4 linked regions of the Rhinolophus ferrumequinum genome follow. The protein of the gene in region 1 interacts with the protein of each later gene in a pairwise test. Links are inferred from orthologs where the notes say so. Each region holds a gene or a part of one and is shown in the gene's direction. Other genes may lie near its edges. The genes, in order: TRIM21, TXN2, USP15 and GRAP.

Region 1 (6,999 bases):
CAGAGGTTAATCCCTGACTGCTGGGTTTCCCAGGCTCCGGTGATCTGGTTTCTACCTGGGTTTAGGCATTGCAAATATTGGAGGAAGATTAACCAGGTCATCCAGATGAAATTGGAGTAGGATTAAATTAGTGATCTTTATTCACCAGGCAAGGAGAGGAGAAAGAGAGAGAGAGAGAGAGAGAGAGAGAGAGAGAGAGAGAGAGAGAGAGAGAGAGAGAGAGAGAGAGAGAGAGAGAGGGCACTCAGAGTTGGGGGAAGGGAAGTGAGGCAAGAAAAAATGTAGAACAATGAAATGCATTATCACACTGGATAATGATTCATGAGTTTCAAAAGGACACAGCCATCAGCCAGTGGGCTTGCTCACGAGAAGAACTGCAGTGAGGAACTTCGCCTTGAAATTGTCCAGAGGAGAGAAAGGAGGGGATTTTATTTGTCCCACTCCTATCTCCCATTTCTCATCGGTCAATGTTCACGTCATGGAAAACTAACTCCCTGTACTTTTTGCTTATGTCATTTGCCTATAATGGCTGTTCAGAAATCTGGATCGCACACCCTGCAGTGTGATGTTTCATCCAAATGTGACAGTATGAGTATGGAGTGGTGTCCCAGCACTGATAGGGTGCTGAGTAAGAGGATGAGAGGGAATCTGAGATGGTGCCAAGATTGGCGTCCAATACATTTCACCCTGTAAGACAAGGATAAAGGAAAATCTTCCCAGTGGACCGTATTTGAAGCAAGTGGTTCTATACTTTGCTTGAGAGAAAAGATGAATTGGTGTACGTTACTTATATACCACCTTCACCGTGTCTAACAGGTTGGCCTGCAGGTCAGGAGCTGAAAAATAAGAAAACAAGATTGAAAGGCTGGTAACAGAGTTATGGGTAGAAGGACACATGGAACTTCCAGGAAAGTATCCAGAGTGTGAAAATGCTTTTGTTCCGTGTGAATACCCACTAGAGAACATACAATGCAGAGAAGGTACCTCTAACCAGATAAATAAGATGATTCACCCCGTCGATGTTGCTGAGCCTCTGCCCCAGTCACCTGTTGCTTGGTCAATGGGTTTATGTACAAGAATCCTTATCCATAGTGGTAAACAGATAAACCTTAGTGAGAGCAAATGCATACTCAGGCAGAGCCTCTATCCCTGCTGCTGTAGGCACTTGGACATAAAAGGCCAACTCTGAGCCAGATTCTTCCCTATTTCTAAGAGAATCAAGACAGTTAGTTACATTGAACGAAGAGCAATTTGTCCTCACAAGTTGGGTAATATTCCAGAGACCAATTCATTTGGCCCCCTAAACCCTCTAAATTGGTTCTGCCAGCACCACCATTTTTAAACTTACACCATCAGGCTATCCCGACAATATCACCTGCAACCAAGGATCTGATTTTACAATCAAAGAATTCTGATAATGGGATTGCCCTGTGGAATGCACTGATCTTACAATGTACACCGTCAGCCAGGAAAAGGTGGACCAATAAAGCTATGGGATGCCTCACTAAAGGCTCAGGGATGGCACCAGTTTGGAAACCCCACCCTGCGAGATTATTAGGTGGTCTCATAAATTCTGGTACATGCTTAAAGTCAGCAACTAATATATGGTGACTTTTTTTTCATATCCTGTATACATACACTCGTCACAGAATCAAGAGGAAAAGTGGAAGTGGCCTCTGTTACCATCAAACTAGTAATTCATTTACGGAAAGTTTTCTTTCCATCCCTCAACATATGGCTCAGCCCTGTTTGGAGGGTCTTGTAAAAACAAGGAGAAACCCTTCCACCAGAGTAAGCAAATCTAGTTCTAAGAAATGGGAATTTGCAACTACTCCTGGCTCTTTGGGGATTCTTAAGCCACTGAAGAAATAGGAAGAGGATGGGGTTTCTATACTGGCTGGAATGAGTTACCTCTATGACCAAGGAGAACTGGGGTTGCTGGTATGTGATAGGGGCAAGAAAGACTATGCCTAAAACCGAAAATACACATTAGAGAGATTCCTAGATATCATTGTCCAACAGCAATGGCCAATGTGTTAAAAACAGGAACATTGAGAACACTGATCTTTCAAGAATGAAGGTATGGGTCACCTCACCAGGAAAGAACACTGAAGTGTTAAAGTACTGGCAGTGAGTGAGGGGACTTGAAATGAGTGGCAACATTATTCATATAGCCAATTGCCAAGATGGGGACTGTTGCGGTTATGCATGTTAAAATATCTGTGTGCATATTATTGAACAATACCAAAGCAACCCTGGATAAATATTGATAGATATTAGGATAAATATTAGGATAAATATTGATATCCTAATTTAATTAATAAATTGAAGCTCAGAGAGGTCGTACATACCTAGTAAACAGCAGGGTTGGTACTGAATCCTGTCCTATAGTGAGACCTCTGCTCTTTTCTACCTCCACCGACAGTAGCTTGCTTAACTCTGTGCCTGCAGGAAACAACAAAGGGGCTGCAGTGGTGTTAAGCCCAGTCCTTTTCTGAGTGCAAGTTCACGTACAGGTCTCTTCTTCCTTGGATTTTTTTTTTCATTCTGTTTTCACATTGCTTGCATTAAGTAAATTATCTTAAAAACAGAACTAGAAATTTCAAAAAAGCATGAAATGTTTTTACATTTCCTAAATCTATAGAAAATACCAAGCAAAGTTCAACTGATGTTTTTACCTTAAGTTATAAAAGAACAAAAAAGAAAAAGAATGTCAGAGTTGAAAGGAATTGAGGATTCTTCTAGCCTTCCTCTTTGCTCCTTCCTCCTCTACAACTATAACAACATCCCTTCCAGCTGTTCCTAAAGCCTCTGCTTGAACTGACAGGGCAGCCTGTTATGTCCCAGCTGTCACTAAAATGAGGATCTTCCCTGGCCCTTTAGTTATCATACAAGTATGCTTACTATGTCACTTCAAACAAGTCACTACACTCCGTTCAGGCTCAGTGTCCTCTTTTGTAATATGAGTTTAACAACCCCTAAATCACTAAAATGTTGTGCAGCTTAAATAATATAACCTGACATAGCAGCACTATTCACAATAGTCGAAAGGTGGAAGTTGTCACTCAAATGTCCATCAACAGATGAATGGATAAACATACAATGGAAATTATTCAACCTTAAAAAGCAAGGAAATCCTGTCACATGCTTCAACATGCACATTACCCTAAGTGAAGTAAGTCACACAAAAGGACAAATACTGTGTGATTTCGCTTATATGAGGTACCTAAAATAGTCAAATTCATAGAGGCAGAAAATAGAATGGTGGTTGCCAGAGGCTGAGTGGGGAATCATTGTTTAACGGGTACAATTTCAGCTTGGCATGATGAAAAAAAGTTCTATGGATGGATAGTAGTGATAATTACACAACAATGTGAATGTATGTAATGCCTCCAAACTATACACCTAAAAATGATTAAGATGGTAAGTTTTATGTCCGGTGTATTTTACAATTTTTAAAATAAAAATAATAGTAACCTGAGAAACTCCCTAGCTCAGTGACAAGAACCCAGTTGGTGTTCAACAACTAACTGTCAATTCCCTTCTTACCACTCACTGGTGTGATATCTGCCTTGGGGTCAAGCACAATAAATCTTTTACACCCTTAAGTTAAAATATTGAATCGCCTGAAAAGGAATTGTTTCTGAAAGCAGGCAGCAGATGGTGGCATGTGAGGGAGAGCTCCAGGCACTCTCCTCTCCATCCAAACCTCCCTAAGAGCTCCCAAACGTAGGCATAGCATGTTGGCATGGGGTGATGACGCTTCCATCTAGTGGATACGATATTTTACTGTATTAGACAATGAGGACATGGGAGGGAGCACGAAGTAAGAACTAAACGCTGCGGAGCTTCCACTCAGTCCCAACCTCCAAGAAGCACTAGACAGAGGTGTCAGCAGCTTCGGATACTGAGACCCTCCACTCCTCCTTCTCTCCTCCCACTTCCTCTTCCCTCTCCTGCCCTCCCCACCCCTTCAGTGTACTCTCCTCCTCTTGCTCCTCCTACTCTCGGGCGTGTGCCTACCTCCCGTTCAGACTTCCCTTTTAGAGGAATCGAAAGTGAAATAAAAAGCCGGCTGCCATCTGCTGAGTCCCTGAAAAGGTGAGTGAACTTGGCTAGACCAAGGTACCCCAGTCCTCCCTGAGAAGCCCCTTCCAACCAGTGCCCACCCCTAGAACCTTCACTCTCAGTTTTACCTTCTCCGCAGCAGGGCTCACTCAGCCCTAACCCAGCAGTTTTTCCCGCGCTGACTCGGCTGCCCTGGGAGGAGGCTGGGCTGTGAACGGGACCAAGTCACCTGGAAGGAGCTCGGGCTGCCCTGTTGCTGGCACTAGAGCTGGGACGAGCGGCCAGGTGAAGCTGGGAGCACCAGGCCAGAAACCTAGGAGGCAGGGTGGGCCAGGAGGGCCCGGTGCAGGGTAGGTCTGCAATCCTTGAGACTCCCATCTCCAAAAGTCTCTTTCTGGAGGAGAGAGGGACAGAGTTGTTTAGGATGTTAGAAGTTTATAGATCTATGCCCTGGAGGAAATGAAGCTGCTAGGGTGGAGTAGCCGAGAGAAGGGCCTGGAGTGCTGAGTGCTAACCACACATTCGTGTCTGTATAAACATATACACATATATACATATACAGATACGTATACATATATGCATATATAGGTGCACCTACAGATATACGTATATACTTACAAGAATAAATATATTCTTCTGTATATATTCATGTTACTATATATAAGGAACTGATGGCCTGAGATGGGAGAAGATGGATGGGAAAAGCCTGGGCACTGAGGGTTTAAGCAGAGATAAATGTGATAAAAGTAGAATTGTGAACAGCTTTATTGCTGAAGTTCCCAACAACTTCACTGTCTTTTGGGGATTCACTTCCCCCTTCTGTGTGACTGGATCAATGGAGCAGACTGGGGGGGAGAAGCTCTTGTCATTCAGCTTAATGTTCTTGTGTTTTAACCCCTACCGGTCACTCTCCCTCATGTTTGCCTTTTAATTTTTTTCGCTTTTCTCACACAACCTTTCTCGTCGTCTTCCTTCCTTTTCTCCTCTCCCCATTATGTCACTGCAAGATCTCCATAGTGCCACTTCATAGAAACATTTCCCCTCATGGCCTCAGCAATGCCCTTGGCAATGATGTGGGAGGAAGTCACATGCCCTGTCTGCCTGGATCCTATGGTGGAGCCTGTGAGCATTGAATGTGGCCACAGCTTCTGCAACGAATGTATCTCTCAGGTTGGGAAAGGTGGAGGCAGTGTCTGTCCTGTGTGCCGGAACAAATTCCTGCTCAGGAACTTCCGGCCAAATCGCCAGCTAGCCAACCTGGTAGACAACCTAAGACAAATCAGCCAGAATGCCAAGGAGGGCACACAGAAGAAGCAATGTAGAGTACATGGAGAGAAACTTCACCTATTCTGCGAGAAAGATGGGACCACCCTTTGCTGGGTGTGTTCCCAGTCCCGGAAACACCGTGACCATCCCATGGTCCCGATTGAGGAGGCTGCTCAGGAATACCAGGTGAGGCCTTGGCACAGAGGCATGAACAGGTAGAAAGGAGAGGGGGCCCTGATGAGTGCTTTGTTCCCCAGAGCTGGGATGGGAGAGAGTCACCCATAGAGTAAAGAGATTAGAGAAAGAATGGGTGTCCCCCACTTTTTATGTCTAAATTAAGGGTCAGCACAGCCTTCTCATTCCCCAGGAGCAGGGGCGACGCTATGGTAAAATGATGCAAGGATCATGATTCCCTGTGGCTTCCTGGTTAGTTAGGAATAAGTAGTGCCCTCACCCCTGCCACCCCAACAATGTGGCTCTGTTTTGTAAGAAACATGAGGCTTTTTCCAAAGTTTTCCTTTCCACAAAATTCCTACCCCAATCAGACTAGTCCTCCCTTCTCTACACACAAGCTTTTCTAAGAACCAGTAAACCTTCCCCCACCTCATGCTACCCCACCCTACTTCTTGATCTGGTCGGACATTAACCTGCTATCTTTCTGTGCAGGAGAAGCTCCAGGTGGCATTAGGGAAACTGAGACAAGAACAAGAGTCGGTTGAGAAGTTGGAAGTGGATATTGCTACAAAGAGAACAGACTGGAAGGCAAGAGTCATATCCCAAAGGGAATCTTAGATCAGAAGCCTAGGCAGGGTCCAGGGTCCTGGCCTCAAGAAAGCCCTGACCATAGCTGTGCCTGTCTGAGGAGTGATAGAGTGTGTGTATCTCACTCTTCAAAAACCAACAGTCCTCTAGGTCTCCTGATAGAGGGGCATAAAGAGTATGAAGCTCAAAGAGAACTCCCAATCAGACACAAAGATCAAGTCTTAGGAGAAGGTACTGAGGGACAAGCCATACCCTAAATCTCCTCTTCCTTGAGCCCAGTCTTAGGGGATGACCACACCACGGTGTCTGGGACAGGTATTCCAGGAGAGATGACCAGTGGCTAGGCCTGTTAGGAAATGACAAGGGCTGTGATGAACAGACGTAAGGGAACCACCAAGGCCTGAGGTAGGAAAACCAGTCTGACCAGGTGATTGCTTAACCATGTCCAGATCACTGGTTCAAACAGAACGGAGAACTAAAGCTTGTCCTGCACTGGTGATTTGGAGGTGGGGTGGGTCAGGGCCAGAGGAGTGGAAGGAACTCATGACCAGTAGAACCCAGAAGAGGAAGATTTGGGACCGGGGAAGTGTACCAGCCTGTGGTGGCAAAAAGGGTCATCCTGTGTTATCCGGTGACTCTTCAATCACTAACACAAAAGGGCAAGCAAAGAATATCACAAAGACGTTCTTTCCCCAGGACTTAAGAATGGTGTTATCTTTGTGAGCTTGTTGGGATGGGGACAGGTGTTACTGTCTTAGTAATTCTCCAAGATAGGAAGACAAAAGGACATACGTGGGTGCTGACTGGGTTTTGAAAGAGGTTGAAAGTCTCTGGTAACATGGGCCAATGCAGCAGTGGTTGTAGGGCAGCTACAATGCACCCTCCCCCACCAATCCCGTTCCC
Region 2 (7,093 bases), on another chromosome or scaffold:
CCAGTGTCAGGTCTTTATTTTCAGAAAGGGCTGAGGGGGTTTTGTGTAATTGCTGGAAACTCAACAGAACGTGAATCACAACAGAACCTGAAACCTCCTTCTAGAATTTGCAAAACCTAAGTCCTAGTTCCAATTGTTCTCCAACAGCGATAAAAACAAATTACCATCAAGATGGAAACTGAAAACAGATACTTCTACCAGCAACACCTCCTGGAGAGGAACTCATTATCAGCTTAGACTGTGGCCCATTGCCTCTGTCTGCATTGTTTCCTTTCTTTCTTTTTGTTTTTAAGGTGCCTCCCTCCAGCCATGAAATCCTCGGACACACGGGCACAGAGAAGCACCTTTCCCGCAGCCCTGAGCCCCGCGATCGGCCCTGCAGGCCTGAGGGAGCCGGGCCTGCCATGGAGGAGGCTGGAAGACCCACAGTGCCACCACGTGGGTGCCTCTGCTCATGGCCACTGCTGAGCAGCAGTGCCTGCCACCAACTGCAATTCCCTATGTCGCTCTCCGATGGCCTCGATTGGCTGGCTGGTCCCTGGGACTTAGCCGGGAAGAGGCAGCAGTCTAGTCCAATCAGATCCTCATTAGGGGCAGCAGAGCACCTTTAAGCTTCCACCTCCGACTATCTGGGTGACCCTGGACAAGGTATCGATCCTGCATGCCTCGGTTTCCCCATGTGTAAGTTGGAGGCTGTAACAGTACCAACCTCATAGGGTTGTAGGATTAAATGAGTTAATACATGTAGGGTGCTTAGAACAGTGTCAGGTGCTTGGAACTCTTCAGTCTCTCAGTAGCTTTCAAACCCTTTGACCACGATCCACAGTTAAGAAATACATTCTACATCACAACCTAGGACATACAGATACGTAACATGAACAAAATAATACTTATAAGATGCACCATACGCCGATATTTTCAATTCTGTTTGTCTTTTTAAAGCTGATCATAACCCACTAAACTGATTTCATAAACCCACTGACGGCTCATGGCTCACGTCTCACAGTCTGAAAAACACTGCAATAAATATCAGTAAGAGATAGCAACAGAAGCTTTACCCTTAGCTCAGGCTGCCAGTCCTGGCTTCCTTCCTTCCGCCTCCCACCTGTGCTCTGAACCTGCCTTATGACTTGGCAGACGAGCCACCCTTAGCTCAAGAGCCCCTTTGTAGCCAGAGGGTGCTGCCTTCTCCATGTGTCTCCCAGACTCTCTGCAGGAAGGAAGGAGCTTCATTCATCACTCACCAGGCACTGACAATGGGCCAGGCCCTGTCCTCCCTCCTTCCCACAGCCTCACAGTCCTATGAGGAAGGCATCTTCCCATTTCTCAGATGAGAAGCCTAAGGCTGACAGAGGTAAAGTGCCTATGGAACAAGAATAAATCGGACTGGTTCTCCTTTGGATTCAGAATGTGAATTAAGCAAGGAAACTGGCCTTCCAGAAAATGCTATGGAAATGCTGAATAGGGTTGATCGATGGCTCTGAAAGTGCTGGAGACACAGAAAAACAGAAATGAAAATGGACAGGGTGGAAGTGCCCTGCCAGATGGCATCTGACATTAGGAGGAACAGCTGCACCAAGGGATGTTGGCCTCAGTAGAGCCAGGAGTACTGAGGGGCATCACCACTGTTGGCTCCTTTCCTACATGGGGACAGAGGCAAAAGCAAGAGGTCAGACTGGGTGGAGAAGGCCATACCTGCCCACACCCTCACCTAGTCTCCTGCTGCTGATGGACAGTGACTATAAAGTGTAAGGCTGACATGGCTGCTGGTGGCCCAGGGAGGTGGGCCAATCGCAAGTATTTCCTCCCTGCAACCCAGAAGGTCCCTGAACTGCTGTGGCTGTGGACCCGCCCACCAGGGCAGTGAGGGAGTGAACCTGCCATTCGGACACATCATAGCACGATGCAGTCAAGATGAACTGGAAAAAAAAAAAAACATGGCCATTGTTTTGGAGGCAAAATGAGGCTATGCAATGTGGTGGGGAAAATGAAATTTAGGGTGGAAAGATTTGATGTGGGTCCCTGCTCTCTGTTCATGGAAAAATCACCGAGTACCTTCTATGATGCGCCAAGCCCTGAGGTAAGCAATGGAGAGACAGACAGACCCCCAGAAGCCACTGACAGATGCACAGGGGCTGTGGAAGCTCAGAGGAAGGCACCTACTCCCATTCAAGGAGGCTCAGGGAAGGGGCTCCAGAGATGAGGCCTAATCTGCATTTATCTGGTAGCATTTTCTCAGGCAGAGGGAAAAATCTTCCAGTCATAGAGTAGCAACTACAAAGTACAGGGATGGGAGAAACACACAAACTCTGGAACTGTGATTCCCACTGGCTGGAGTGTAGACTGACATGGAGGTGTGAGATGGACTGCCAAGTTACCTCCTTCATGACCTTGGACAAGTCACGTAACCTCTGACTGTAAGCCACTCCCTAAGAGATCCAAAGACGGTCAGCTTACTGAGCATCTATTGAACGTCCTCTGTGATCGGGCACTGGACCATGTTGGTACTGGACATAGTCATCTAAAAGCTACGCATCCCTACTTTCAGAAAGCATATGCTCTAGGAAAGCGACACTGTGATGTGTTCTGTAAGAGTGATGAACGAAGCACTAGAGAGAAGGAAGCAACTGATGCTGCTCAAAGGTGATGAGTCGTGTACCAAATCTACCAAACGGAGAGAGAAAAAAAGCATTTCATGTGAAGCAAAGGCAGGCAGGAAGAAAAAGACTGATGTCGTCATAGAACCGTGAGAGGCCAGGAGTGGTTGTCATGTAAGGTACAGGGTGCAGGGGAGACAAGAGGTAGCTGTGACACGTCGGGGACACACAGGTGCGTAGATCCCTGTGTCCACTGACAGTGATGATGGGTGTTGTGGGGAAGGAACAAACTTTCTTCTACCTCAAGGCTCTTTCGGTCTAATAAAATAGATGAGGGTTTTTTCAACTGGTCTAATAACCAAATAGACAAGAGACAGATTAGCGAGAGAAAAGAACCAAATTGAATACGTAAATATGTATGGGAACCCCACAGACACACACATGCACAAGAGGTTCAGAGACAGAAAGGGAACCCATGTGGGTATATCAGGCATCCTGAGCTAGGGATGAAATAAGATGTGCTGGTGGCTTACAGAGTCACTGCAAAACGATTAGGAGCAGATGTTTCGTAAATAGACGTTTGCCCAACAGGCGGGTCAAAAAGAGATTATTGCTGATAATCTCTTATTATGGGCAAAGCCCCCTAATTCAAGCTCTGTAGGGAGTTAGTTAATGGGAGGGGCAGAAGTTTCTCTTGAGCCTGAAGCTAAAACTGCCCTTAGCTCAATATAATCCACATACCACAGACGTACATCTTGGGGCGACTAGCTCTAAACCCTCAGTGTGCAACTAAGGCCCAGGCCCAAGCCGGTTCACAGGTCACCACACTTGACCTAGCTTCAAAGGCAGACCCTCCAAGTATCACCACCGTCTGGCGCCTTGCGGGTAACCAGTTCCCCCAGCAACTCCAAAGAGGTCAATGACAAGCCCAGCCCTTCATGTCACATACTGGGACACTGAAGTCCCCTGGGGCTGGCTGACTTGCTCCAAAGCCCGAGGTCATACAGTTGTGAGTTACAGACAAGGGCCAAAAAGCGGCCTCTTGACTCCCAGTCAGGGTCTTTCCATTAATCCGCACTACACCTTTTAGGAGCTTAGCTTCCTCATGGGTAAAATGAAAGAACCTTCCAGCACCTAGAAGTTTTTGGAAGACAATGAATGAGGCACAGGGGTAGGCAGCGCTGGTTGAAGTTAAAGCAGCCTGACTTTGCAAACTCCAGAACTACACCTCTCTTACCCGCCATCCCCATCCTATTTCTTCCTCTCGTACCTCCCTCCAGTTCCTGCTTCCTTTCACCTCCTCTTCCGGACCCTCGTATATGGCCCGCCCACTTCTTCCGGTCCCTCCCCCGACAGCAACCGCCTTTTCCGGTCCCTCCCCAAAATCCCGCCCCCCATTTTCCGGTCTCTCCCTACTAGAGTCCCTCTCTTCCGATCCCTAACTGAGGTTCCGCCCCTTTAAGTGTTCCTTCCTCCGCCATCCCCATTGGCGGAAAATCCCAGCTGCCCCTCCAGGTTGCCTGCCCGGAAGTGACGATCAAAGGCCCTCCTCTAAGGAAGTGACGGCAGGAGTGCCCTTGACAGGCGGGGTGGGCCGGGCTGTGCGTCTCTCCGTTCGTGCTGCGGGGAGGTAGGAGGCCCGGGGACGCGGGTGGCTCGAGGTGGTGCCCCGGCTGAAGCACGCTGCGGGCGCGTTCCTATGGCGTCCGATGGCTGAGTGGGCGGAGGCCCCGGGCCGGAGGACCTGCCCTCCGGAGAGCCGGGGTCCCTGGTGACGTCCGCTTTCCCCCGTTCCCTCCACACGCGCGTTCCTTTTTTAGTTCTCCCCCAGACTCCTGTTTCTGTGCCTTTTAGTTCCTCCTGGAATTGTTGTGGTTCCTCTTTCCTGATCCTTTGACAAGCCCCCTTTTTCCTTAATTTCCCATTAAAACACTTTTTAAAAAAGTAATCGACAGAGTAAGGATTTTGCAGACAGCCTTGGGTTCCAGTGTTGACTCTCATTTTACAGTTGGGCTACTTTGGGAGTGTCACAGCTTAACTGAGCCTCGGATTCCTTATCTGTAATACGGGCAATACTCTAGAAACTTTCTTAGAGTTGATCTGGGAGGACTATAATGTATGTAAGGCATTTAGCCTTTAGCAGGTGCTCCGTAAATAAGGGTTTCTCCCTTCCCTTCTGTTATAATCCCATCAATATCTGATTTCGTTTTTATTGTCAACCCAGTTTTGTCCTCGTTTGCAATTCCTTCCCTTTAATTCTAGTTATTTGCTCACCTCTACTGCAAAAATGTTATATATTATTTCTTGGTATTTTGCTTCCAGCCCTGCATCTTGAGCCCCAGTACTCCCAGATACCTGTCTTTTTCTGGTGTTTTGACTTCCTGTTGTCTTCAACAGCTCTTCCTGCCTCTTCCCCTGACGTATGGCTCAGCGACTTCTCCTGAGGAGGTTCCTGGCCTCTGTCATCTCCAGGAAGCCGCCTCAAGGTTGGCGGGAACCCCTCACCTCCAGGGCCCTGCAGACCCCACGATGCAGTCCTGGTAACCTGACAATAACACCCAGCCAAGCACGTTCAATATTCAGCACCAGAGTCTGTTCAACAACCTTTAACATCCAGGATGGACCTGACTTTCAAGACCGAGTTGTCAACAGTGACACACCAGTGGTTGTGGATTTCCATGCACAGTGAGTCCTGGGAGTCAAGAGAAGACTGGGGTGTCACTTGTTCGGATATTTTTGAGTGCCTGCTATGTCTCAAGGACCATGGTTGGTGCTTCTCATACATACTCACTACAAACACTGGGAGACCCAATCCCTGCTCCCTAAAATTGAGTGCAGTCTGATAGGAAACGGACTAGTAAACAGTCTTCAAAGTTCCCTGTGGTTAGTGCTGGGAATCGCTTGTGTGGTGTATCTCACTGCCTGAATGGTCCAGAATCATCTTCAGCTTGGACCAAAGCACGAAAAATATGACTACAGCAGCATTTGGCTTTAGCATATGTCAGTTTCTGGCCCTGCCGAGAACGCTGATTTTATTTTAACATCTTAACCACCAAAACTGGGAAGGGATGGCAAAAAGAGACCAGTGCCACTGCAGTGGTGCCCGAGGTGTGGGGGATGGGCGGGGGAAAAGATGAGTTTCTTTTCAGTGCTGTGAGAGTTTGTTTTCGGGATATTGAAATGCCTACGGCCTACTGGTTTTTTTAGCCTGGCCTTCATTTCCAGGCCCTTGGGGCCTGGTTAGGCTATTAGAAAACTGGACAAGCCCCCTCCGAATGAGATATTCTGGAAGGAGCCCGTGGAGCATCAGTTACAGGTTGGGAGGCTTGTGGGGCAAATTTCTGACAGATTCTTTCTGTTCTTTCTTTCCTGTTCTTTCTCTGACTCACCATGTCGCCTTGGGAAGGCCATTTGATGTCCTTGTCCCTCCCTTTCTTCACTTGTGATAGGAGATAAGGTCTCGCAGCCTGGGTTTTTTTGGTGTTGTAAGTTCATGAATTGAAATCTGAATGGAAAGGGTTTTGAAGGCTAAGAATAAAATAGGAGTCATCAGCCAGGACTCCATGTTCTGCCCTCCTGGTACAGTGAGCACTCCAGGGTTTCCAAAATGAACGATAAGTGGGGTGAGATGCTTCATTTTCTTCTCCAACAAGGAAGCAAGGTGTGAGTTTGTTTATTCAGTGCCAGGCACTGTCCTGGGTGCCACATACCTAGGGATGAGAGCCTGTTCTCAAAGAATCAACACCTAGAGGGGAACACCTGTGTTTAGTGCAGCACTAGCCATTGACACAGGGCCGGGGCTAAAAGAAGACACTTAGAACGCAACCTTGGGTTCTAGTCGCAGCTGTGCTTCTTACTAGCTCTGTAACCTTGCACAAGTTTCTTAACTTGTATGGGCCTCGGTTTCTTAGATGTTTTCTTGTCCTTCTCATGGTTGAGGGTTCTATGAAGTGAAAGCTGAGAAGGTCCTGGCGTATTAGACACTCCCTAACCCCTGGTTTCTCCTCCTTTTAGTTCCGAGTCAATGAGGTGTGTGAAGTAATTATTCAGCTGACAAAGCATATTTATCCACATGATCTTACTTAGTGGATTTCTCATTACAGCTTTGAGAGGTATAGTCTCTCTTTTTCAAATGGGGAAACGGGCCCTAGAACGGTCAGCTGGTGCGTCAGGAGCCTCTCTTTGCATCCAAACCTTTTTGCTTCAAATCCCATGTTCGTCTGCATGACAGTGTGTTTCTTTTAGACGTACCGAAATAAGTGAAAGAACCTTTATCAGAGTCTTGAGATCAGGCCTGTGTCTTAGAAGTTAGGGACCTGTGAGACTTCTCCAGTTGCAGAGTCTGCTGACGTTACCGTTTGGGATGTCAACATCACAGGTTAATATTCAAACACTGTAAACAGAGGTAATAAGGACAAAAGTCCTTCAGTAAGATATGTGTCAAGAGAAGGTTCTGGGGGCCCGTACGTCGGTTGGTGAGCACGTTTGTGATGGGA
Region 3 (7,340 bases), on another chromosome or scaffold:
TTTGTTATAATTCTAGACCTATAAGACTATTTTATTATTTATTGATTCAATTCAGTTTAGCTCTATCTATCATCATTCCGTGAGTATCTAGTAGATGGTAGACTGACATCAACCTTCAGGGTAGTGCTGCTTTCATAGCATTTTGTGTGTGCTTACAAAAAAGGGAAGAGACTGGGATCAATCAATTTACAGGCTTCATGCTCATGTTAAAATCAAACTTTCCAGGTCCTTTAGGGTAAAAACTATAATTTTGTTTGTTCTAATTTTTTAATTTGAATAGCTTTAGTTGGGGCAGACAGTTTGTCAGAGTTGCCACAATTCCTTACTATTTTACAACAGGTGGGCTTCATCCATTCACACTAACTCTATCTAACCCTCGCAGGCATTTGAGTTGCAGCCCTGGAAGAGTCTAATCACCTTACTTTATAATGAGAAAACTAATGCTCACAGAGATTAAATAACTTGGCCTAAGTCACCCAGCTAGTTATTGGCACTGAGCCAGAGTCCAAATCCAAGTATACTCTCCCTTTGTACAAGACACTGTATTCATTTCACTACTTTTTCTTCGTCTTTATCAGGCTCTAACATTTGTCTGAAATAAGGAGCCTCTATATTATTTGTTTGTTTTTAAAAACTGCATCCTGACACTGACAATTTTTATTCATGTCTCATGTTTCAAAATATCATTAGCAGATTAAGCACTTTACTACATGCTGTTTGGGTGTTTACACTATTCCCCCACCTCTCCACTGCCTTTTAGCTGTTCAGAGAGCTAGTAAAGAAAGAACAGTTACAAAATTACTAAAAAGAGAGAAAGGTTTAGAGCAGTGAATAAAATTGGGGGTGAGGAGGGAATAACTGTAGAGGAAACACAAAGTGGAAAGAAAAAGTGAAACTGGTTTCTGAAAACCAAAGATAGGAAGTGTTAAGAAATAGACAGCTACCGTGTTTCCCTGAAAATAAGACCTAGCCGCACCAATAGCTGCAATGCGTCTTTTGGAGCAAAAATTAATATAAGACCCGGTCTTATTTTACTATAAGACCCGGTCTTATATAATAATATAATGTAATATAATATAATAAATATAATATAATATAATACAATACAATACCGGGTCTTATATTAATTTTCGCTCCAAAAGACGCATTAGAGCTGATTGTCCGGCTACGTCTTATTTTCGGGGAAACACGGTAGGTCATCAATCATTGTTCTTTCAGAGGATGTGCTGATTCTGGCAGTTTTTTCCTTAGGCTCATGTAACCAGCCAGCACCAACCAAAATTGTGAAGGAGGTAAAACTCGTCTTAGAATTCTCTTTTGTACTTTCTACCACTCAGCTTTATTTAAAAAAAATTATTTTTATTTATTTATTTATTTTATTTATTAAAAAAAATTATTTCTTTCTCTGGTCCATCCCTGGCTGAAAACCAGACCTACTTTGAACCTTAGTTTTAAGCTTACTCTTTCCAACAGTGTTTACATTTGAACTCCTATCTCTTGATTGTTGAATACAAGAACCTTTCTGAAGAAGTATTGGTGAGCAGAGAGGAGAATTATTTGGAAGATCCTTTCTAGACTAACTTCAAAACCTACTCTACTTTATGTAAGGTGCACTTTGTTCATACCAAACCTACTTTCTGAAGTACTCAGCATGCTCCTTTTCCCTTGTCAAAGCTGTAAGTTAAGTTGTTAACGGTCAAGAAAGATACAGAGAACCTGAGAAGTTAATGACAATTACCAAGCAAATACTATGTTCTTATAAAGTTAACCAAGGCAAGCGTCAATGAAGAATATGCATTCCAAATAAGCAGATGTAATCCTTGGCTTATACTCAATTTTCTGTGTGACTTGAGGGAAAGTAACATTTCTCATCATCTACTTAGTTTTTCAATGCAGATGTGGACCCTAACCAATCTAGTATTTATGAACATCTTATTTTTCTTCATAATCGAGGGTAGAGCAGCATAAGTCAAATAAGCAGAATTTCCAAAAATTAGTAGACTGAGGTCACTAGAAAGTTGATTGCTATAATTAAGACCATAAAGTTTAGCAGAAAAATAAAAGCCTATCCAAACTTCTAGACTCTGGCTGCTGGACTGCTTGGTTTCAAATTTGGTTTCTGCCACCTGCCTCAACTCTTCACCTACAGAATGGAAATAATAATACCTCATAGTGTTGCTATGAGGCTCAAGTTACTACCTTAAAGTGTTTAAAACTAGGCTTGGTACTCTGTAGGTGTTTGTTAAATAAAATACTGTAACTATTATTTCTTTCCTAACCCTGAAAGCAAATACTTAGGTCTACAAAATGACCTCATAAATCTGATCTATAATTCAAATTGACATTGAACTTACACATCTATATCCAATTAACTCATTGCTTGGAATATGATACAAATGAAGAAAAGTTTATTTTACTTTGTTGCATGGATACAGGCGTCAACATTTCAAAAATGCATTTTTTTAAAAAGAAACTGGACAACAGAGTGTATGAGGCACCACTTCTCAATTATGTTATGTTTGTAAAATGATATAGAGGATGGTTTTGCCTTCAAAGTTTATAATGATTGTTTTCAACAGCTTTATTGAGATATAATTTATATACTATACAATTCATCCTATCATCAGTAAACAACAGTAGTATTTATTGGTTGGTTATTATGTCCCAGGCAATAAACACATATTGTTTCACTTAATCTTCATAAAAATCCTTTAAGGTAAGTATTACTACCCCTAACTTTAAAAATGAAATAAAAGGTAAGTATGTTGTAGCTAGAGGTTCAGGTGAGGTTTGAACTCATGTTCCTATGACTCCAGTATTCTTCCCAAATCATGTTGTCTCTCTTTGGAAAATTACTTTGCTCTCTTTCAGAGGTTGTCTGGGAAAGGGGGAAATGTGACCTTTGACGGCACTCATGGTTAGAAAAATTCTAGTTTTTGAACCTGTCAAAAGATAAGAAATAGCAAATGGAAGCTGTTTTTAGACTCTGAAATTAAGGATGACAAGATAATACAAAATGGTATTATAATGAAGAAAATAAGCAATCATGATGCTAACATACAAAAATCATAATGCCAATACTTTAATTTGGAAGGGTTCAGTACTTCTTACTAGCATAATTACACCCACTTTTACTGCATTCCCACCAAATGAGCTAATATAGACATTAAAAATGGGGAAACGAGACATCATGCAGGAATTCTTATCCATCTTTTAGACTTTTCACATGATTTATGTTACAGTAAAATGTCTGTACATCTTATGCTTGGAAATACGCGGTTTTGCCACCATTAACTTATTAAACAATTATTTAGATGGTTATATATTAGGCAGCACCGTGCTAGCCACCAGGTATACAGAGATAAAAAAAAAATGGCTCCAGTGTAGCCCAGTTTAAATTATAGTTCAGGCTCTCATAAGAAGTAGTGAGCGTGCTATAGTTGATACTAAACAGCACGCGGGCTTTGGAACTTGGGTTATATACTTGCGTCTCTTCTTTGTGACCTTGGCATTTGACTTTTGAGAGATTCAGTTTCCTCATTTGTTAACAATTGGCTTCAAATCAAAGTTGGTATTATTACCTAGTTCCAGGTGTACACACCATAGGAAGATGTGGCTAATAAAATGCTACTTTATGACATCCAGGAGAGTGGGTTTCTTGCACGTTTTCTTTTCCTTTAGTACCTGGCATTACTCGACACACATTTTACACCGGGTTCCAGGAACTGGAAGTTGTTTTTCACTGCAGCTTAGCAACCTGGGTGTGCCTGGGGAGGCGTCTCAAAAAGCTTATAAAAGCTCTCCACCTACGGCAGGAGTAGGAGCGCAGGAAGGAGCCCAGGAAGGGCATTGCAGCGAAACGTTCGGTTTCGGATTGTTCTTTGTTTGAGCCAAACCGAGCCTGGGTTCTGTGACTCGCAACGAAATGACTAGTCACGGGGCTGTTAAAATTTCTGCCATATCTTGGTCGTCCCCACGTCCCCCACCCCGCCCACCCTAACCGACCCTTCCCTCAAGCGTGAATGAATGCGCAAATAGGGGTTTTCAGGCGTCTGTGGGAAAGAGGGAGGAGAGGGCTGAAGTCAAGGATGGACGGGGCGGTGGCACCGCTCAAGCCAGAGAGGACCGAAGCCCCACCGAGGACAGTTGAAACCAGGCGGTCCCGGGGCGGGAGGCCAAGGCGAGATGCTGGACGAGCGAGGGCCGATGGGGGGCAGCAGACCACGGCATTGCACTCAGTCCGCCCTCAGGGCGAAGGAGCTCCCCCCCTTTACATCTCTTTTGGTTTCGACCTGCTGACTGGGAGGGGCCCCGGGACGCCATTCCCACAATGCTCCGGGGCGTGCCGCCGCCGTCGCTGCCGCCTCCGCTGCCGCTAGTGGAAGAAGATGGCGGAAGGCGGAGCGGCGGATCTGGACATCCAGCGGTCTGACATCGCGTCGCTGCTCAAAACCTCGCTGCGGAAAGGGGACACCTGGTGAGGGAAAGGGGTTGAGGTGGCCGCGATTGCTCGAGGATGGTGGGGAACTGGGCAGGAACTGCGGACTGGTGTCTTTCGCTAGTGACAGGTGCGGGCAGGTCCGGCGGCGGCCGCCCTGGGCAGCAGGATTTTGGCCACTCCGGAAATGTTGGGGCGAAGATTGGACCCGAGATGAGGGTCAGGGTTCGTGGCTTATCGAGACAGGCCGAGAGGCTTACGGTGAGCGGCAGTGGCGGCTCGTGTAGTTCTATTCGTCCTCCTTCCTTCCGTAGTGCCGCTCCCACCTAAGGCCTTTCCCGAAGGATAGGTTACAGTGGCTCAGCGTGAATTTCTTGATGTTTGACAGGTCCTGGTCCCGCGGCTTATCACTATCTCACCCGCTTTACTTATGCAGTCATTTCCTTTCCCGGCATTGTCGGCATCCAAGTTCCCTATTATTCTGATTCTTGTATTCTTCCGGGAGGCAGGCTGCAGGGTGTTTGCGGTTCGGTTCGTACTACACAGGTGGCATGTGTCAGGGAGCCACTTAAGAGAAGGAAACCTTAGTTTCCAGTTCCTTGTCAAAAGGAGGGAGAGGAAGGAGTAGGAAACCTTAGGCTTATGAGATACCACGTGGTCTTGTGCTGTAGTAGAGGCTTGGTAGAAACCGGCAGCGTTTCTTAGAAGTGCAGCCCTTCCCTCCTGGTTGAAGGATAACATAGGCCTGCAAAAAGTAGATAAGTCCACTTGAGGCTTAAGTCACTTGTTAATATACAAACTTATAAAATATCAAAGGGTATACTTAAAATACTGGAGGAAGTATGTAGAGATTTTAATACTTGTCGGCCATATCAAGTGGCATCCAGAATAACTTCAATATATGAATGTGTAACAAAAGGTGCTCTGTTTATTAGGAAGGATAATGTGCCTCTTTATTATAATAAAAAATATTTCCACTTCTCATGATCACCATAACAGTGGTATATATATTACAGAGTGTTTTTTCATGTGCTCCAACGTGGGTTAGTAGAAAGAGCATAAGATTTAGACCTGAAAGACTCACTGTTCCACCATTTAACTTGCAGTATGACTTTGAGGAAAGTTCATTTCAATCATTGCACCTCAGTATCTTCATCTATGAAATGGACGATAATAATTTCTTTATAGGGGTTTTAACTTGATACAATGAAATAGTTAAAAGATTTTCTGTTTATGAGATAACATTAAATTTTAGTTGCATTTTTATCGCCATCAATGCTGATAAAATGGTGTGATGGTTAGGATCATTTTCAAGTAAGCTAATAGCAGACTTGGGACTTGAATTTAAGTATTTTATCTAAGTCTTGATACTTTTTTCCTACTTGTTACATAGCTACATACTATGTTTATATGCTGATCTCAAGGGCATAAACGTGTATTTGTTGCATTAGAGCAAAAATATTATTTAATAAATGTTATTGTTCATATTGGAGTGTTCTTGAGATGTTTATTACTGTGGGGAAATTGGACATTTCCTAGGACACACGTTCACCTTGGCCTATGGATTGTTAAAGATGAAATGAATCCTTGCTATTGTTTGTTGAAGAACACTTAACAATTCTTAATTCACCTAGCCTATTACCACCTTATAAAGAGATAAATGTGGATTTTCATAAAACAGAAATCTATTTTAAGTTAAAATATGGATATCATTTACATAGATATTCTCTTTAATATCGTTATGTTTTTGGTATAATCAGTATTAATGGTATTGTTGACTCTACATGATGATAGGAGCAGTATGTTTATTGTAGGCACTAAACTTTTTAAAGTTTGGTACAGTATTTTTCAAATGAAAGTATTTTTGCTTTTTGACAAGGTTACTACAAATCGTTTTAAAGAGTAAATAAAGGAAGTTCATAAATTTGAACATTTTGATGTTTTTATTTTAAAGAGAAGGAAACCGAAGCGCAGATATTTAGGTAACAGTAGAATTTATTCTCACATTGGTTTCTTTGCTTATTTTAAGGGGGAAAAATACAGGAGCAAGATAGTACTGAGGAGTTGCAGAGACCAGTTTGGTTTAATATGTGAGCTAGTTTACTTGCAATTAGCAGGTGAAACCTGTCAAAAACGGAAGTAATGTAAAGCAGAAGTTTGTGTTTTTGTTTTGTTTTAGCAAAAGTTTGATTCAGTTTTAGGGACAATAATTTGATAAGTACAAATTTGATAATGTATTCCTAAGTACAGAACTGGTAAAGATACTTAATCATTTGTTGTTTGGGCTTATGTTTTTGGAACTCATTAAAAATTAGTTTTTAACTCATTAAAAAGTTGTTTCTCTTTTTAATTTTCTTTTACTATTTGGATTAATCATTTATGGGTATTTGGCAAACCCTGTCTTATAGCTAAAATGGGCCATATGCAAAAGGAACATTTTCTTGGTATATGTATATAACCGTCTTGGAAAGACTGGACTATTGAGAAAAAATAGTAGGTTTACCATAAATTTATTCTTGAAAGTTTAATACTGATGTTTGATGTTATAGTCACATGTATTAAGATGAATAAATTTCATTAACTAGGTTGTGAGCACTTTGTGGATAGGATTGTCTTGTATTCTGGTAACTAACTCTTAACACCTGGACAAGGATAAAGATTTGATTCTGCGTGGATACTAGAGTTTCTGTTTATTTGTAAATAGTGAATGATTTTTACCTGCAAACTGACTTTCTAGAGATGAAAATAAGTTACACAAGTCTGAGATGAGGAGACACAAACTTTATGATATGCTTGTACTAGACTTTATAATCGCAAAAAAGTCAAAATTGATGCAAGAGAGTTATACCTCTTAAAAAGGTGAGGTATGAAAGTAACACTGATCTACACTAGGAGGAGGAAA
Region 4 (7,573 bases), on another chromosome or scaffold:
CCACCTACTGACATGCCAAAAACAATCAAAGTTGAACTATAACAGGAGGGCACACACAACCCACACAAGGGACACTCTTGGAGCACTTGGAGCAGGTGATCAGGGAGACTGTGCTAGGGCCTCACAAGGCACCTACTACATAAGGCCACCTGGTCAAGACTGGGAGACATAGCAGATCTATCTAATACATAGAAAAAAACACAGAGAGGCAGCCAAAATGAGGAAACAAAGAAATATGTCTCAAATGAAAGAACAGGACAAAACTCCAGAAAACGAATTAAATGAAATAGAGACAAGAAACCTACCAGATACCAAATTCAAAACAATGGCTATAAGGATGGTCAAGGAACTTAGGGAGAACTTTCTTTTTTAAATTTTTTATTAAAAATATAGCTAACATACAATACTATATTAGCTTCAGGGATAGACCACAGTTTTTCAACATTTATATACCTAAAGAAGTGATCACCATGGTAAGTTCAGCAACCACCTGACACCGTACCATGCTATTACAATATTAGTGACTGTATTCCCCATACTGGATTTCACATGCTCATGGCTATTTTGTGACTATCAATTTGTACTTCCTTATCTCTTCACCTTTCTCCCCCATCCACCAACCCCTGCTCATCTAGCTACCATCAGTTTGTTCTCTGTATCTATGTGCCTGTTTGTGATTTGTTTGCTCATTTATTCTGTTCTTTAGATTCTCTCTCCACTTTCTTATTGAACTTCCTTGCCCCAGGATGAAAACTTAGGGAGGTCCCTAAGATTTTCAGTCAATCTGGGTGGTAAAAAATACCCCCCTACCAGCCTCTTCGGAGTGTTCAAAGGTCCAGTTTCGTCTAACAATTACAGAACTCCAACCTTCATTGAAATTACAGTCCCCGATGCCCTCCCCTCCACCTCAGCTCTGGCCCTGGAATGGGAAGTCATGGTCAATTTCTTCTCTGTCTCCATTTCCTAGTCTCAAGCTGCCATTTCTGAGAGTCACCCCCTTGGGCTCAGCCCAAAGGAGAGGGGGTGTTTTTGTTTTCTGTGGCTGCTGTAACAAGTCACCACAAGTGTAAGTGGTTTTAACAACAAAAATGATTATCTATTTTTGAAGTTCTGAAGTCCACAGCCACTCTCACTGGGCCAAAGTTGGGGCATCGCAGGGCTGGCCGTTCGGGAGCCTCCAGGGGAGGCCCATCGTGCCTCTCTCAGCTTCTACAACTGTGCTCCTTGCATCCCTTGGCTCGTGGCCCCTTCCTTCATCTTCAAAGCCAGCAGTGTAGCATTGTGCTTCAGTCACATCACCTGCTTCTTCTGTGTCCAAGCTTCCTCTTGTGAGGACACTTGAGATGACATTTAGGGCCCCCTGGATAATCCAGGATCATCTCCCCATCTCAAGACCCTGACCTTGTCGTCGTAGGTGAAGAACAAACGTTCCTCTACCCTCGTGGTTCTTTGGGCTGGTCTAGAGATTATCAAGAGGAAAAAAACCAAATTGCATACACACCTATGTATGGGAACCCCGCATACATGAGGGTCAGTGACAGGAGAGGTTCACAGACAGGAAGGGGGATGTAGGTATGTAAGACATTCTGAGCCTGGGATGAGGCAATGCACCTTGGGGGCTTCAAAGGGTCATTGCAGGATGATAATAAGGGCAGGTGTTTAGTAAATAAAAGTTTTCTCTGCCATACAGGTGGGTCAAAAAGATATTCTCTGATAATCTTTTACTAGGGGCAAGACCCCTAATAAAAGTTCTTCTAGGTAGTTAAAGGGAAGGGCAGAAGTTTCTCTTGAACCCAAAGCTAAAATTGCCTTTAGTTCAAAATAATCTGCATACCACTGAGGCACATCTTGGGGTGGTTTGTTCTGAACCCCCACACCATCTAAGGGGATGTTCACAGGTTCCAGGGATTAGGACTCGGATGTCTTTGGCCCGTTCATCAGCCTGCACAGGGGGTTAGGGACTAAGGACATGGCTGGTTCGCTGTGGCCAGTGACCAGTGGCCAATGCTGAGTTTTTCCTCCTGTGGCAGCTTTGGAGGGACCGCCCATGGTGAGCCCAGCTGCAGCTGTGTTATGGGGCTAGGTGCTCCCCCAGATGCCAACTCTGAGGCGCCCTCCTTCTAGGCCCCGGCACCCACGCTCAGTTTGGGTGCCTGAACCTCTCAGTCAAGTCCTATTGTGTGGTCCTGGAACTGGGCCCATTGGCCCGCCCATGAGGATGTGCTGCTCACTCCCGCACGGCTCTCTTGACTCACTGTCACTGTGTGACAGACAGCGCAGGCTCCAGGCGGGGGCCGCGTGGCACGGGGCTGTGTCACGGGCCTGGGCTCACGTCGGCCTGGATGTGAACCCCAGCCCTGCCACTCACCAGCTGTACGATCTTTTTATGCATGACTTGCACAGAATAAGTACTTTGAAAAACATAGAATGAAAAAATAAAATAAAAAACATAGAATAAAACACCCACCTGGTTCACAAGCCCCAGAGGACACATGCTCAGCTTCATAAAGGGAGCCCCTGCTTGCTCGCCTCCAGGTGCCTCAGATTTAGGGTGGAGTGCGTCTCAACCCCCCGATAGCACCATTCTGAGGCTTTGAAACCTCAGCTGAAACTGAGCCGGAAAGAGAAGCCATATTACATCCTGTCACCCTGGGGTCTGGGGCAGGCAGAAGACAGGAAGGGGCTGGGAGCTGAGACCACGTGAGGCTCTCAGATGGGCCCAGCCAGGCTTGGGAGGCTATTACCTCGCCACCGGGGGGCTCCAGGCGACGAGTTTCTGCCATCTTCCTCTTCTTTCCTTGCAACTGAAAAACAAAACAAAACAACAATAACAACCTAAACCTTTTATTTTGAGATAACTGCAGATTCACATATATCTTCTCAACTTTTTATAGAGAAAATTTTCAGATCTTCAGAAAATCTGTAGGAACGGTGCACAGACATCCATCCACCCTCACCTAGGTCCACTACTTCATGTCTGACTGAGTTCATGGTTTTCAGTCTATTATCCATAACTGTATACACACTCATAGAAATAAGTATAGAAATATGGGCACACTCTGTCTTTTAGGAAATATAGTTCTTCCAAAAACTCATTATATACATATGTATACATACTTGTAGTTTGTATATATAATGAGTTTGTGTGTGTGTGTGTGTGTGTATATGTATGAGTTTATATATAGCACATATATAATGAGTTTATATGAAAAAATGAGTATGTTTATATAAATGAGTATATATATATATCCATATATATATTTTTTCTTTAGCTCTGTCTGCAGGGAGGGTCTACACGCAATGACAGCACCGCAGTAATAAGCATACCTACCTCCAGCTCAGTCCTCATTTCTAAACACCATCCTCCTCCAAACATCTTCCATCTCGTTGGAGAGATGGATGATTTCAGGGCTGGGGCAAAAACAGTCCCGAGCGAGCCTGAAACACGTTGTCGGAAAGTTAGGACGTGCTCAGGGAACGATGGGACTTGTCAAAAGGACCGGGAGGCAGCTTGCAGGGGGCTCCGCAAGCCAAGTCGGGGACAATTTAAGCATCAAAAATAAATCGTGATAGTAATGGATTATTATCCATTGACTAAAATATAAAAGTATAATATAACCATACTGATATAAATGAAAGAGGAAAAATTGTATTTTACATAAAAAATTAATCTTGCTTCACACTGGCCCATCTAATTCCCTTCCCATCTAACACCACAGGCTTCTTCCTCACTTTCCACTTCCAGTTGTGTGTCTCCTTTCTTCCCTGGGGAGAACAACATCACCGTATTTATCCGTGTATGCTCTTTGCCACAATACTCACATAATCAGAATTGCTATCCCAGTACCACTATCCATAACAAACCTACTGAGGAAGGCTCAAGATTTATTTGCAGTTCTTTTTGACTGTAGGGTCTCCATCCCACTGAAGATGCCCTGTGTCTAAACCAGAAGAAACACCTTCTGAGCTGGGCTTTGATGGATGAATAGGAGTCTCTGGTAGGAGAAAGAGGGCGAGGACAACAGGCAGAGGGACATGCGTGGGCAAAAACCTGGGAGATGAAATGAACGTGTGCTGTGTCCCCAGCTGGGGCTGAGCCCGAGGTTTGTTTACAAGGAAGGGGAGTAACAAAGGATGAGCCGAGTCTGGAGAAGGGTGTGGTGATGCGTGGAGGCAGTGGCTTGGGAGGGCCTTGAATGCCAGGAAAAGAGATTGGGGTTGATGTTGTGGACATCGGGAGTCAGGGGAGGTATCAAAGTCTAGAAAATATGATGGACAGATTGGCACAGCGGTGGGGGTCGCGGGGACCACAAGATACGATGCTTGAGCTGGCAGGACGGCTTTGCAGCATTCTCCTCAGGAGACCTCAGTTTTATCATCTGTAACATGGGGACAAGGAGGGAGACCCATTCCCAGGGCTGCCTGGATACTCCCCAAGGGCTAATCTGGCCTCTGGGGTCTGAGGTGGGGCCAGGCCTGCTCCCACACCCTCCGTGCGCTGCGACAGATCTTTGCTTCCTGTTTCCCCTGTCAGGGGCAGTTTCAGTCTCAGCTTCAAAAGAACAAACAAGCTCTCAAAACAAAGGAAGACGGTCCTCCACTGCAGAGGAAGCAGGAAGCTGCCAGCCCTGCTCTGAGCCCAGTGCTGGGGCTCCAGGACAGCGGGATGGAGTCTGTGGCCCTGTACAGCTTCCAGGCCACGGAGAGCGACGAGCTGGCTTTCAACAAGGGGGACACACTCAAGGTAGGGTGGACAGGGCGGGCTGAGTGGGCCCCACTTGGGGTGGGGGCTTTAAGAACCAGGGGCCCAGGAGAGCCCCCCCAAACAGAGTCCAGTCTCTGGAGGACAGGCCCAGCTTCTCCAGTCATCAGCTGTGTGATTCAGGACAAGCCACTTCGCCATTCTGAGCCTCAGTTTCCCCATCTAGGAAACAGGGAGATAATTAGTGATCCGTTTTGGGGGGCCATTGTGAGGATTCAAGGAAACATTAGCACAGTGCCTGGCAGGAGCTGGTTCAGCACCCAGTTTTCCAAAGAATTTGAGAAGACAGTTGTTGAGATGAGAGAGACAGAGAAAGAGAGAGTAGGGAGAGGGAGAGAGAGAGAGGAGAAGGAGGAAAGGAGGAAGTTCTTAGAAAAGAAATAAGTACGCACACTAACCTATTAAGATAAAAATAGCTGTGATTTAAGTGTCAGGAATGAGCTTCCCAGCACCATGGAGAAAAAAGAAAATAGAGTCCTGCCACAGCTCATTTCTCCTTGTCTGGGGCCCTTTTAATGAACATTGCAGCCTTCCAGGGGCGTTCCAGACAGATGGATCCCTGAGATCTCTCTCTGGAAATGTCCTTGCTTACAAGTTTGCATACGAAAGCAGAGCTCAGGGGCTGGATTCAAGAGTGGCCATGGCAAGCCTTAGGCGCGGTAACTGCCACTAACTCATGCTGAGAAAGTCCCTCTGTCCCTGGGCCTCAGTCCCTGCACTATAGCTGCAGGCATTAGCACGGATGTCGCTCCACGCTGAGCCCTGGGCCCTGTGCTTGGCCCGAAGTTTCAAGCACAAGAAGGGATAAGAACTCCCATTAGCTGGCATCCTGCACTATCCAGTCCCAAGCTCAGCAATGATGTATCTGTGTCCCATTTAAGCTGTTGAGGTGGGGAAGATTGGCATCCCCATTTCAGAGGTGACTAAACTGAGGCACAGGAAAACGCCATGACTTGCTTGGTATGGGGTCAAATTTGGACCTATGTCCTTTGACTCTGAAAACTGTGTTCTGTCCTCTGTGAGGCCAAATGGGCTGGGCTGGGGGTTTGGGGAGGCTGATGTCCCCCAAGAGGAACCGTGTCCCCTTGAGAAACCACTTTCTCTATGCCAGATGCTGGTACCTGTGTGCACCGGAGCTGCTGGTTGGGGGCCCCATGAACATGTGGCCAGCTGGGGATGGGGCGGGCTTAGCACCGAGACTGTCCAGGCAGGGCATGCCACCGAGAGCCAGTCAGAGGCCTCACTTACTGTCTGAGAGCAGCTTCGGGTCTCTGAAGCCGGACCTGAGGCTTGGGAGGGAGCGGAGCAGTGAGGGAATAGGAACGGGGAGGGCTCAGAGTGGACGGAGTGGATCAGCGAGGGCTCTCCAAGGCAATTTCAAAGACGTCACATCGCCACTTCCCTCCTGGGCTCCTGCGCCCACCATCCCCACCCCTAGATTAGTCAGGTTTTCCACTAACCTTTGCTGTAGTGTCAGCCAACTCCAGGTGTGTTGAGGAAGGAGTGAGCTCATGAGGGCAGGGATCTCGCTGGAGCCCCAAGACATGAAACAGTGCCTGGCATATAGGAGGCTTTCAATAAGACAGAGAGAAGGAAGGAAGGAGGGAAGGAAGAAGTGAGGGAGGGAGGGAGGGAGAAAGGGGAGCGGGAAGAAGGGGAGAGGGAGGGAGGGAAGGATGAAGGGATGAAGGGAGGAAGAAAGGAAAGAATTAAAATGTTAGCTGAAACTAGGGTATCCTCCCAGTGGGACTTGTACCTCATGTCCGTGGAGACCGAGGAGGGGACCTTTAAAGCTCAAAACATGAGGGGCTGGAATGAAGGCAGAGGGAGGGGCTGCCTTTTCCTTCGTTCAACACTTGTTGAGCTATTTTTTCTAGTTTTATTGAGATATAATTGACATATGAGATTGTATTGGTTTAAGGTATGCAACATAATGATTTGATACATGTCTGTATCACAAAATGATCGCCACTGTTAGTGTATTTAACCTGCATCACCGCACATAGTTACATTTATTCCCTTTTGATGATAACTTTCAAGATCTACTCTCTCAGCAACCTTCAAATGCACAATATAGAATGATGAACTGTAGTCACCATGCTGTACACTACATCCCTAGAGCTTACTTATCTTATAACTGGCAGTCGGTGCCTTTTGACTGCCTTCACCCAGTTCCCCCACCCCCTGCCTCTGGTGACCACCAGTCTGTTCTCTGTTGAGCTATGGAGCACCTATTCTGTACCAGGCATTGTTTTAAGTGCTGAGGATGCAGCAAAGAACAAAGCAAAGTTCTTGCACTTCTGGAGCTGACGATCCAGAGGGCAAGTGACATCAGGAGGTGCGAGGTGGATTGAAGAAATCAACATAGGGAGATGGAGTACAGTGACCAGCAGGCGGTCAGGGCAGTCTCTCAAAAGAGGTGACCCCTGAGCTGAGGACGGGAGGATAAACAGGAAACTACCACGCAAAGAGCCAAGAGTACCCGGCTGGGGAAATAGCTGGTGCAAAGGCCCTGAGGCAGGGTCATATTAATATGCTTGAAGACTTGAGAGAAAGGTCTGCTTGAAGAGCAGTGAGTGAGAAGGGTGAGGTAAGGATGAGGCTGGTAGGTAGGCAGCAGTGAAGGATTTTGATTTCATTCTAAATGTGACGTGCACTCACTGAAGGATTTTCATCAGGGAAATGGCTTGGTCAGATTTATGTTTTAAAAAGATAACACAGGGGACAGGAATGGAAGCAGGGAGGGGCTGTTGAAATCTACTGGGTAAGAAATGAAGGTGGCTTAAACTAAGAAAAAATACATGACAAAAA

The links.
Region 2: the proteins of TRIM21 (region 1) and TXN2 interact in binary tests that used the Homo sapiens proteins (3 or more experiments, as listed by UniProt). The two-hybrid records come from large-scale screens. The link is inferred for Rhinolophus ferrumequinum from reciprocal best matches to the Homo sapiens genes TRIM21 and TXN2.
Region 3: the proteins of TRIM21 (region 1) and USP15 interact in binary tests that used the Homo sapiens proteins (3 or more experiments, as listed by UniProt). The link is inferred for Rhinolophus ferrumequinum from reciprocal best matches to the Homo sapiens genes TRIM21 and USP15.
Region 4: the proteins of TRIM21 (region 1) and GRAP interact in binary tests that used the Homo sapiens proteins (3 or more experiments, as listed by UniProt). The two-hybrid records come from large-scale screens. The link is inferred for Rhinolophus ferrumequinum from reciprocal best matches to the Homo sapiens genes TRIM21 and GRAP.

The regions. Positions count from the first base shown.
Region 1 is NC_046294.1:47,069,248-47,076,246, forward strand, and holds the start of TRIM21 (E3 ubiquitin-protein ligase TRIM21), read left to right. Parts: upstream 1-3,978; 5' UTR 3,979-4,101; intron 4,102-4,207; 5' UTR 4,208-4,353; exon of another isoform or gene 4,354-4,418; intron 4,419-5,075; 5' UTR 5,076-5,112; coding exon 5,113-5,520; intron 5,521-6,000; coding exon 6,001-6,096; intron 6,097-6,999. UniProt on the Homo sapiens protein: E3 ubiquitin-protein ligase whose activity is dependent on E2 enzymes, UBE2D1, UBE2D2, UBE2E1 and UBE2E2.
Region 2 is NC_046293.1:10,210,773-10,217,865, forward strand, and holds the start of TXN2 (thioredoxin, mitochondrial), read left to right. Parts: upstream 1-4,072; 5' UTR 4,073-4,227; intron 4,228-4,233; exon of another isoform or gene 4,234-4,368; intron 4,369-4,994; 5' UTR 4,995-5,019; coding exon 5,020-5,282; intron 5,283-7,093.
Region 3 is NC_046293.1:60,021,598-60,028,937, forward strand, and holds the start of USP15 (ubiquitin carboxyl-terminal hydrolase 15), read left to right. Parts: upstream 1-4,318; 5' UTR 4,319-4,388; coding exon 4,389-4,477; intron 4,478-7,340. UniProt on the Homo sapiens protein: Hydrolase that removes conjugated ubiquitin from target proteins and regulates various pathways such as the TGF-beta receptor signaling, NF-kappa-B and RNF41/NRDP1-PRKN pathways.
Region 4 is NC_046304.1:306,246-313,818, forward strand, and holds the start of GRAP (GRB2-related adapter protein), read left to right. Parts: upstream 1-4,558; 5' UTR 4,559-4,666; coding exon 4,667-4,744; intron 4,745-7,573. UniProt on the Homo sapiens protein: Couples signals from receptor and cytoplasmic tyrosine kinases to the Ras signaling pathway. Plays a role in the inner ear and in hearing.